Macaca mulatta: one gene and its partners. The protein of the gene in region 2 purifies or fractionates together with the protein of the main gene of each other region. This does not show direct contact. Links are inferred from orthologs where the notes say so. Each region holds a gene or a part of one and is shown on either strand. Other genes may lie near its edges.

Evidence for each region.
Region 1: the proteins of MBTD1 (region 2) and EPC2 purify together in Homo sapiens (affinity purification with mass spectrometry; 3 studies listed by BioGRID and IntAct, with this or other methods). This does not show direct contact. The link is inferred for Macaca mulatta from reciprocal best matches to the Homo sapiens genes MBTD1 and EPC2.
Region 3: the proteins of MBTD1 (region 2) and H2AZ1 purify together in Homo sapiens (affinity purification with mass spectrometry; 3 studies listed by BioGRID and IntAct, with this or other methods). This does not show direct contact. The link is inferred for Macaca mulatta from reciprocal best matches to the Homo sapiens genes MBTD1 and H2AZ1.

Annotation. Positions count from the first base shown.
Region 1 is NC_133417.1:53,760,049-53,763,698, forward strand, and holds part of EPC2 (enhancer of polycomb homolog 2), read left to right. Parts: intron 1-1,199; coding exon 1,200-1,391; intron 1,392-3,650. UniProt on the Homo sapiens protein: May play a role in transcription or DNA repair.
Region 2 is NC_133421.1:58,802,497-58,806,146, forward strand, and holds part of MBTD1 (MBT domain-containing protein 1), read left to right. Parts: intron 1-107; coding exon 108-342; intron 343-975; coding exon 976-1,031; intron 1,032-1,356; coding exon 1,357-1,461; intron 1,462-2,458; exon of another isoform or gene 2,459-2,701; intron 2,702-3,111; exon of another isoform or gene 3,112-3,424; intron 3,425-3,650. UniProt on the Homo sapiens protein: Chromatin reader component of the NuA4 histone acetyltransferase complex, a multiprotein complex involved in transcriptional activation of select genes principally by acetylation of nucleosomal histones H4 and H2A.
Region 3 is NC_133410.1:109,266,964-109,270,903, forward strand, and holds H2AZ1 (H2A histone family, member Z), read right to left. Parts: upstream 2,676-3,940; 5' UTR 2,620-2,675; coding exon 2,617-2,619; intron 2,187-2,616; coding exon 2,109-2,186; intron 1,831-2,108; coding exon 1,717-1,830; intron 1,384-1,716; coding exon 1,254-1,383; intron 974-1,253; coding exon 912-973; 3' UTR 535-911; downstream 1-534. UniProt on the Homo sapiens protein: Variant histone H2A which replaces conventional H2A in a subset of nucleosomes. Nucleosomes wrap and compact DNA into chromatin, limiting DNA accessibility to the cellular machineries which require DNA as a template.

The DNA of each region.
Region 1 (3,650 bases), on a different chromosome or scaffold from region 2:
CCAAAAAAGTTATCAATGCAAATGTCATTTTGTAAGTTACTTTTAAAAATCCATTTTGTGTTAATCAGTGCTTTTCCTAGGTATGTGATTGTTAAGCATTGCAGTATGAAAATCTTAACCCATAATTACTGACAGAATCAGCCTTTATTAGATATTGATTCTCATTTTAGACTTCCTCTATGAATAAATACTCAGCCTTCCTAAATACTAACTTTAGGAATTTGGTTGCATCCATTGTTGTCCTACTCCATTACACATAGTTAACTATATTTACTTTGTCATGTATTCCACTTGAAAATGTGGGAAGTTTCTGAAAGTTGGGGCTTTGTTTTTGATGTAATAGTTATGCCCATTATATGAAAAATTTTATATCTCACTAAATATAATTTGCCTTTCAAACAATATTTTTATTGTGTGTACTGTTTTTGACCCTAAAGTAGTTAACATCTGGACTAGATGTGGAAAAGTATAAGTTTTGTAGTTTGTACCTTGGTGCTTGGAACAGTCTTTTCCAACTTTTAAAGTGGCAGATCCCTTTTTATTAAAAGGAATGCCAGTATGTTAAAACAGTAACAGAGCTGCTCTGTTGAGGGGAGGTAGGGGCACTACCCCTTCAGTGAGTGTCTTTGCCAGATGGCCTCTCAGGAACCTCCACAGAAGCCTGCGGGACTTCAGAACAGTTACTGTTCGGTTGCTGCAGTAATTATACATTCTAAAAAGTGAGGGGTTTTTTTTCCTAGTTAAGCTTATTTTTCTCAAAAGATTTACATCCATAGAACACACATTTTAAAAAATTGGATCTAAGTGTAGAAATGACAATAAACTCATGATCCAGTTGAAGAAACTTAAAAATAGTGATTAATTTTTATCAGTGCAGCAGATTTAAATAAAAATTGAATTTAAATACCTTTTAAATACTGGATTACATAATAGAGCAATCCAAAAAATTCCTCACATAGTTTAAAGTAGTAATAATAATGTAAAAAGCAAATTTAAATACCATAATTATTTTTCATCATAAGTTGCAGAAAGTAAAACATGTTTCAATTTATGAACACAGAATAATTTTTGCATATTAAAAATAATAAAATCACCTCCTGGGTAAAAATGTATGTTTTTCAAAGAGCAGTATAGTTTTTCATGATTTCTAAAATGATTTTTATTTCTTCCTTTTGGGGGAAAAATCGTCATGTAAACAGCACCCTCATCATTTGTCTTTGAAAGAAGAGGCTTCTGATGTGGTTCGTCAAAAGAAGAAGTACCCAAAGAAGCCTAAAGCAGAGGCTTTGATAACATCTCAGCAACCCACTCCAGAGACATTGCCTGTGATCAATAAGAGTGACATTAAGCAATATGACTTTCACAGCTCAGATGAAGATGAATTTCCACAGGTGCTTGTTTTAAAACTATTTTAAAGATATTTCCTGCTAGTATTTTGTATTGTTATATTTTTAAAGCAATTGCTATCTTAGAGTTTTTATTCTTGCTTTGTTCCCCTAATGTATGTAGCATAAACATTTCCACATTATTTATGTAGCCACTGAAATGGTATTTACTCTGTATTATCTTTCATCAGTTGTATAGAATTTACTCTCTTGTGGAGCACATGGTTTTCAGTTTTTCCATTTATAAAAATGAACTTAGATCTTTTCCCTCTGTATTTAAAATAGATTCTTAGTAATTGAATTACTAGTTACTAACCAAAAATTATCAATATTTTAAGACAGTTAATATATAATTGTAAATATTGAAAATATCAACAATACTTTCCTTTTTACCACACTCCACCAGCATTGTGTTTTATAACTTTTAATGCAAATTTTGCTAATTTGTTAGGTAATGGCTGTTTGATTTTAAAAAAGACTTAAAGGGACTGATTCAGATTTTAACTCTTTGATAAATATTGCAACAGCTTTATAGAAAAATGTGCACAATTAAAAAATATTTATTTTTATAAGTGCTGTTTTTAAAATAAGACTTTTACTTTATATATTAAAAGATCCGGCCGGGCGCGGTGGCTCACGCCTGTAATCCTAGCACTTTGGTAGGCCAAGGCGGGCAGATCACAAGGTCAGGAGATCGAGACCATCCTGGCTATCACAGTGAAACCCCGTCTCTACTAAAAATACAAAAAATTAGCCAGGCATGGTGGCGGGTGCCTGTAGTCCCAGCTACTCAGGAGGCTGAGGTAGGAGAATGGCGTGCGCCCGGGAGGCAGAGCTTGCAGTGAGCTGAGATCGTGCTACTGTACTCCAATCTGGGCGACAGAGCAAGACTCTGTCTCAAAAAAACAAACAAACAAAAAGAAAGATCCATTTTTTCAAAAAATATTGTGTATCACCTGCTCTAGCAATACCATCTTTTTAAAAATAGCATAGGAAACTTAACAGAAAATACTGTAACAAAGACCTTGAACCTACTGCCAGCTTTATCATATTTTAACTTTTTGACTTGTTTGCTTTAAGGAAACTTTTTTTAAAAAACCAACATTATAGATATGTTTGAAAGCAGGACTGTTTATAAAACTCTTCATTGCTATAACCATTTAAAATCTGGAGTTTGCATAAAATGTGTCCCTTTTGGCTGGATTATACTAGTTTTACTCTTTTTTTTCACTGATTAGTTTTTCTACCCAGATAATATTCTGATAGTCATGAATAGTATCAAATGTGCAAAGATATGCTTAATTTTATTCCTTGAGGAGTGCTTAATGAACCCATATATTACTTTTGTCAGAGGATCATCTAGTTTGACTCAGGCAGAGCTTTGAACAGCCATGGGACATTCATCAGATGACCAGTTTGAAGGAATGAGGGATATAGTGCCTTACAAAAGAGTAATTTTCAAGATAGAAAGTATAGGGAAGGGTTCTAGGCACAACATACTAGAGGGAACTCCTAGCAGTTTAGCATTGCTGGAGCACATAACATAGAAGAGGAAGAGGGGATGAAAGGCTTGATGCCTGCAGTAATACCCAGATGTCAGATAGCCTCTATCTACATTATACATAATGGGAAATTATTTAAAATGTTAAGTAAGAAAATGACATAGTTAGATAACTGTATGTAAAATAGGCTTTTATTGGTGGTACTAATGAGAGCCTAGAAAGTTTTGCTATATATTCCCAGCCCTTTAAGAATGATGCTGCAGCCGGGCGCGGTGGCTCACGCCTGTAATCCCAGCACTTTGGGAGGCCGAGATGGGCGGATCACGAGGTCAGGAGATCGAGACCATCCTGACTAACACGGTGAAACCCCGTCTCTACTAAAAATACAAAAATTAGCCGGGCGCGGTGGCGGGCGCCTGTAGTCCCAGCCACACGGGAGGCTGAGGCAGGAGAATGGCGTGAACCCGGGAGGCGGAGCTTGCAGTGAGTGGAGATCGCGCCACTGCACTCCAGCCTGGGAGACAGAGGGAGACTCCATCTCAAAAAAATAAATAAATAAATAAATAAAAAAGAATGATGCTGCAGACTGGGCATTGTGGCTCACGCCTGTAATCCCAGCACTTTGGGAAGCCAAAGCAGGTGGATTGCTTGAGCCCAGGACTTGGAGACCAGCCTGGGCAACATGGTGAAACCCCATCTTTACCAAAAAAACAGAAACAAAAGTACAAAAATTAGCCAGGTGTGGTGACACATGACCGTAGTT
Region 2 (3,650 bases):
TACATTTCAAATGCATTCAGTATTTTTTACAGTATAATACGAAAATTTCTTGTAGACAAGAAATTCTTGTCATGAATTTCGAGCAGTTTTTTTTGTATGCTTTTAAGGTTTCAGAGAGTATGCAGTATCCTTTCAAACCTTGCATGAGAGTAGAAGTGGTTGACAAGAGGCATTTGTGTCGAACACGAGTAGCAGTGGTGGAAAGTGTAATTGGAGGAAGATTAAGACTAGTGTATGAAGAAAGCGAAGATAGAACAGATGACTTCTGGTGCCATATGCACAGCCCATTAATACATCATATCGGTTGGTCTCGAAGCATAGGTCATCGATTCAAAAGATCTGGTAAGCACCTGTCACAAGAACTCCTGTCAAAAGCATCATTGAGGCTGAATTATACTAGTTGGTTATTTTTCTCTGCAGAATTGCACAGATCAAAAATAGCATTCTAGTTTTTTGGGCTGCTTATTCTACCTTAATTAGTGAAGGTTCACACCATGTTAGTGTCCTAATAAATTTTTTTATATTCTTTCCACTTGTTCTCCAAAAGAATGAACTTTTGGTCACAACTACAGTTATTTCTTTCTTTTATTATTCAGCCTATTATTCAGCCCATTTGAAAGATCTAAAGATCCCTTTCCCTTTCCATTCAATTTTAATCAAAATAGCAAGATGAAATGTGGTTAGACTTAATACTAAGCACATGAAAACATGCTTCTAAAGTTGTAATTTTCTAACTAGGGAATTACATTAAAATTATGAGCATTAAAATTGGCTGAATATATTTAAAAGCATATATGCACATGTACCCTGAAGAGAGAAAAGACTATTAAAGAATATTCACCCCAAATGTAGAAGGCATGTCTTTTTGCCATGTTTTATAGTATGACATACCTTGTGAGTTTGAAGCCTTCAAAGAACGTGGTTTTTGGTCTTCTCACAAATGCTGACAGATTAGTGTGTAACTTTTCCTTGTAGATATTACAAAGAAACAGGATGGACATTTTGATACACCACCACATTTATTTGCTAAGGTAAGAAGTTTTTATAAGAACCCTCATTTGTAAATTAGGTTTGAAAGAGGGTTGTGGGTTTTTTCCTAAAATTACGGAAATCACAGTTACATGTGTTCACTTAAAAGAATTAAGACCTTGTAAATTCATAGGTGTCACAACTCTTTATTATAATTATTCTTAAATTCTATTTGTCTGAATTCTCTCTAAACTTTGATGGAAGTTTGAGTTATAATACTAGGTAGGTAGGAGAAGGCACCTGGTAAATCTTTTCACATTGGTAATATTTTAATTATTAAAATAACAACATTTGTAACAGTAGATGTGCTTTCATATAATTCTTTAGGTAAAAGAAGTAGACCAGAGTGGGGAATGGTTCAAGGAAGGAATGAAATTGGAAGCTATAGACCCATTAAATCTTTCTACAATATGTGTCGCAACCATTAGAAAGGTAAGATAATAGGTTTTAAAATATAGAAATGCAATTATAGGATTTGGGTGTAAGCTAATAGAAGGAGTCCCCAAGCATATTCATTTTGACATAAAATGTGTATGTGTGTGTATCTTCACTGGAGAGAAGGTTGCTAGGAATTTCAAAATAAGTTTGAATTCCTGATCTTTCTTATATAGTTTATTGTCAAGATTGTCATTTTGAGTCTGCTACATTTACTTGTGGAAGTATATCCTAATTTAGAGGGAAAATATTTATTTAAGTTACTTCTAGTCAAGGCTAGTCCAATTCAGAATTGTAACAAGGCCAAGTTTATCTTCAGTTTCCTGTGTTTCCTTTTTAGGCCCTTTTCTTCCTTTTGGTGGTAGTTTTTGCTTCTTTTCTCTTTTCCCCCTCATCTGAAACTGCTCGTACAAAAAGACCTAGAAGAGAGATTCTTGGGTTTTGTTTGTTTGTTCATTTTTTTGAGACACAATCTCTCTCTGTCACCTAGGCGGGAGTGCAGTAGTGTGATCACAGGCTCAAGTGACCTTCCCACCTCAGCCTTCAGAGTGGCTGGGATCACTGGTGTGTCCTTTCATGCCTGGCTAATTTTCTTATTTTTATTTTTGTAGGTACAGGGTCTCCCTAGGTTGCCCAGGCTGGTCTCAGACTCCTGGGCTCAGGCAATCCTCCTAAAGTTCTAGGATTATAGACATGAGCCACAGCGCCCAGCTTTTTTTTTTTTTTCTTTTTAAGACATGGTCTCACTCTGTCACCCAGGCTGGAGTGCAGTGGCATGATCTCAGCACACTGCAACCTCTGCCTCCCAGGCTCAAGTGATCCTCCTGCCTCAGCCCCCTGAGTAGCTGGGACTACAGGTGCTGGCTAATTTTTATATATTTTGTAGAGATGGGATTTCACCATATTGCCCAGGCTGGTCTCGAATTCCTGGACTCAAGTGACCCACCTGCCTCGGCCTCCCACAGTGCTGGGATTACAGGCATGAGCCACCACGCCTGGCCTTTCCTTTTTTTTTTTTTTTCCCTGAGATGGTGTCTCGCCCTGTCACCCAGGCTGTAGTGCAGTGGCGTGATCATAGCTCACCACAGCCTTGAGCTCAAGCAGTTCTCCCACTTCAGCTTCCTGAGCAGCTGGCACTACAGGCACAAGCCACCACACCCAGCCAGTTTTTTGTTGTTGTTGTTTTCTTTAGCAATAGGGTCTCACTGTATTGCCCAGGATAGTCTCAAACTCCGGAGCTCAAGCAGTTCTCCTGCCTCAGCTGAGTAGCTGGAATTACAGGCAGGGGCCACCTGCCTGGCTAACATTGGCGGTTTTTTAAGGCCCCAGGTGAATATCATGTACAGCCATGGTCTAGAACCACCTAAGGAAAATCTGCTTACATAAAGGTGTAACTTAAGTCATAATTTGCATTTCAACGGTTTAAAACCTTGAGCTAAAAGAAAAACAATTATGATGGCCTGGGCATGGTAGCTCACACCTGTAATCCCAGCACTTTGGGAGGCTGAGGCGAGCAGATCACAAGGTCAGGATATCAAGACCATCCTGTCTAATACGGTGAAACCCCATCTCTACTAAAAATACAAAAAATTAGCCAAGCGTGGTGGCGTGCGCCTGTAGTCCCAGCTACTTGGGAGGCTGAGGCAGGAGAATCACTTGAACCCAGGAGGTGGGGGTTGCAGTGAGCCGAGATGGCGCCACTGCACTCCAGCCTGGGCGACAGAGCGAGACTCCATCTCAGAAAAGGAAAAAGAAAAACAATTATGATGACTGCCATGTCACATGGTCAAACAGCTGGACAAGACTGGCTCCAAACCCTGTTCCTCCTCTTTTCCTGACTAGTGATCAGAATGACCCAGTAAGATTTAAAACAGGCCGAGGCAGGCAGATCACAAGGTCAGGAGTTCGAGACCAGCCTGGCCAATATGGTGAGACCCCATCTCTACTAAAAACACAAAAATTAGCTGGGCATGGTGGCAGGCGCCTGTAGTTCCAACTGCTCGGGAGGCTGAGGCAGAAGAATTGCTTGAACCCAGGAAGGGGAGGTTGCAGTGAGCTGAGATTGCACCACTGCATTCCATCCTAGGCAACAGAGCAAGACTGTCTCAAAAAAAAAAAAAAAAAATTTAAAACACTGATTCCTGAAACACCTTTATCATGTTAAAAAGGAAAAAAAAAAAAGGCCA
Region 3 (3,940 bases), on a different chromosome or scaffold from region 2:
ACAAGGTAACGATTTTTACAAAATGCTGTGAGCCAAGCTGTTAATTCCAACTACCACCAGAACTCGGTACTTTCAAATAAGAAAGCCTGCTTCTCTTCAATAAAATGGAGATAGTATATCCCCAATGATGTTACTGAGCACTTAACAATTTCAATTTCAGACTTCAAAGCAGGGCCTAGCACGTAGCACTATTAGCTTCAGAGTTTAAATTCGGAGTTCATTATGTGGATATACAGGACATTCCTACCTATTCTCTCCCTCCCCAAGTCCACCACACTAACAGCATACTAGTGCAGTGCTGTCACACAGCAAGCAAAGTCAATGCACAAACTGAAATGCTCCCACTCCAGCTCCTGACAACTTTTTAAATTAAAACTTTAGTAGCTTATTATATAACATTAAAAATATATACTTGGTCTATCTCACTTTGTTGATCTAGATTTGACAGGTCAGTCACAAAGAAATGTGCTTAGTTATTGCTGCTAGATATTCAAAACAAATTCATATTACAATCAAGCCAATTTAATACACAACTAGTTTGGGATATGACCTTTATTGAGCTTATCCACCAGAGTGGAAATAATGTCTGTACAAAACCAAATGTTTGTTACTATAACTTCTGCATCACAATTAAAATCCAAACAGTTTTTTAAAAACAGTCAACTCAATCAAAACCCACTACTTCAGAATCAATAGCTTCTTTGAAGCCACAGTAACACTTAAATATGGTTAAGACTCGAATGCAGAAATTTGGTTGGTTGGAAAGCTAATTAAACTTCCAACTTGCTCAAATAGAATTACAAAAAGGCAAAATTGTGTTTTTCACAGAGATACAGTCCACTGGAATCACCAACACTGGACAGCTGTTAGAGTATTTAGAGTCCTGAGATAACAAGGAATCCAGGCATCCTTTAGACAGTCTTCTGTTGTCCTTTCTTCCCAATCAGAGATTTGTGGATGTGTGGAATGACACCTAGGAGAGTGACAGGAATTAATTCTACTTAAGATTTTTTTTTTAAAATCACAGTATTTGAAACCAAAAAAAGTATACTGTTCAAGTATCTTTAAAAACGTGCAGCTCAAGTATGAAGTAAAAATTCAGTTATACATATGAATCAAATTTCATGATAAAACCATACTTGCATCAATGAAAATATACTTAAATTTTCTCTTCTAGAAAAACTAATGAAATTAAAGCAGCAAAGAATTCCTTCCTCTGAAGAAATTTTTAAAAATTTTAGAAGTTAACATACCACCACCAGCAATTGTAGCCTTGATGAGCGAATCCAATTCTTCATCTCCACGAATAGCAAGTTGCAAGTGACGAGGGGTAATACGCTTTACCTTTAAGTCTTTTGATGCATTTCCTGCCAGTTCAAGTACCTAGAAGGCAGAATCTAATCAGTTCCCTTCCAACTTTCCTTTGGCCAAGATTCAGAGAACAGAATAAAACCCTCACAAACGCTTATCTACCAACTGGAGTCGTTCCCCACTATCTGACTGGCAAGATATACAGGGGGCACGCAATTTTAATTCCAAGAGCAGAGAACTCAAGCTCAGTAGGATCCTTGTTGAACAGCAGCTCCCTCTAGCGTTCTCTTAGGCCTCTCGCCGCGTTCAGGGCCTGTGAGTTTTCTTGCATCACTTTCCTCCTTCCCTCTTGCCGTCTCCCCGCCCCCCAAACCTTCTCCGGATTATAGGCGTTCACCCATTTACCTCTGCGGTGAGGTACTCCAGGATGGCTGCGCTGTACACAGCGGCAGTCGCGCCCACACGTCCATGACTGGTCGTCCTAGATTTCAGGTGTCGATGAATACGGCCCACTGGGAACTTAAATTTTAAGCATACACAAACATAAATGCACAAAAATAGGAGAACTAGAGATGGGGAAATTATATGCGCGCCAAAGCAAGTGGCACGGGCGCAGCAACGCGTCCCGACATCGAAACACGTGATTCCTCCCCCCCATATTTATCGTATGGGCAGCCCAAGTCGCGACACCGCATCACCCACGCATAGACGAAACGCCCATGGAGAGCGGTGAATAACAAAAAAGGAGATGCAAAGAAAAACATCACGACTCCCAGACCGCACGAACAACTACTGACCTGCAAGCCGGCTCTCTGCGAGCGGGAAACCGCCTTTGTCTTGGCCTTTCCGGAGTCCTTTCCAGCCTTACCGCCAGCCTGCGGCGCGCACACGCCCGCGAGCGGAGGAGGAACGGAGAATATAGAATTACCAAGGCGGCGCGCCCATCCCCCACCGCGGCGCGTCCCGCCGCGAGCGCGTCCCCGCACCCCGCCGGGGTCTCTGGCCCGCGGCGCGCCGCAGGGGCGACCCCGCCCGTCCGCCCCCCGCCGCGCGCTCGCCGCGGCCGCGCGCCTCCGCCCGCCCGCCGGCCCCCAGCGGCGCTGCGCGCGCCACCCAACCGTCGCCGCCCGCCGCGAGATCCGAGGCTGCTCCGCTAGCAGCCGACAAAACACCTCCCCCCGCTCTTCTTAATCCTGTCTCCGCGCGTTCCCAACCGTCGCCACTTCACCCCCATCCCCCGTGTAACGGGTTTTTCTCCCGCCGGCAAAAACCCGCGAAGTCATCGAGCGTCTCTGCGAAGTTTACCATTTCGAATTCTGCTGAAGCTCAAGCAAGCAAGGCAGAGAAAAGGCTAATCGGACCCACGGTGAGATCCCACCACCTACTCCTTCGTCGCACCGCGATTCAAACTGCGCTGTCTCCCGCCTTCCCTGCTCCCTTTATACTGCAGAATGTTCCCTCATCCGGGAACTCGGATTGCTCATCCCACCAATGGCTGCCACCCGCCCTCGGGACGCGTCCTTGAGACTTCAGCCAATGAGCAAGCAAAGAAAAGGGTGGAGGGGCGGGCGCTTCTAAGCTCAAGCCGCGATTGGGACGTGAGGAGCGAAGCGGGGGAGGGCGGAGGGATGGGAACGGGGGAGAAGAAGGGCACCGCGGCGGGAGGGAAGAAACAGAGCAAGCTACTCTGCGGGAGCGCAGTTACCAGCCAGCTGCGGTCACGTGCCGGGGAGGAGGAGCTGAGACCTCAGGGGAGGGGCGCGCGGTAGCGCCCCGGGTCCCCTAGCAGGGCTTTGGAGACCACGTGAAGTCTCGTCCGTATCTAGCACGCAGCCCCCACCGCTCCCAACCCCACCCCCAGCGCCTCTCGGGCGGAGACCTGCGACCTGCAGCCGCCTTCCGGGGCCCCGGGCACCCTCTCCCGACCCTCTCAATCCCTGGCGGCTCTTCCAGTCTGACAGGTGGCGCGAACGCGTCCAGTGAGGGGAGGCTGAGGTTTGCCCTGACGCCTTCCTCAGCCTTAGTAGAGATTCCGTGTTTCTTCCCTCTAGGCGAATCCCCAGTCACCAACAACAGATCAGGACGGGTTGCTCCCACTTTATTTTCAGCCGGGTCTTCCACCTCTCCCTCACTACTTATGAAATCCCCCACGGAATAGTTCTGTAACAGCAAACGGTGAAGCCAAGTCACCTCACTGGTCACGAAACCCTTTTTGTTTACACTTAAGGAGCTTCTGGCGAGGCAGTATTCTTAAATCATAAACCGTATTTTTTGGAGACTACACATCAATGAGTTGTACCTGTAGCCTGATGTGTAAAGCTCATTTAGTGAAACCTCAGAGCTATTATGTGTCAACTTTTCTACAATAAATATTTTGCCACATGACAAATGTTCGGCAAATGTCGACGGAGTAACTCTGACATGATTCACAGGCAGTTACAGAGGGTCGGTGCAATGCAATCAACTGCAAATGATGAGGTTAAAATAATGATACTGTACACACAGTACTATCCTTCCAACTAGTAGATTATTAACACCTACGTATATCTCCAGCTGCTTGGGGACAGTAGTGTCTCAATCTCATTTGTAGTGTTTTAGTGCATTATACTTTTTAACATAACTGAATAGT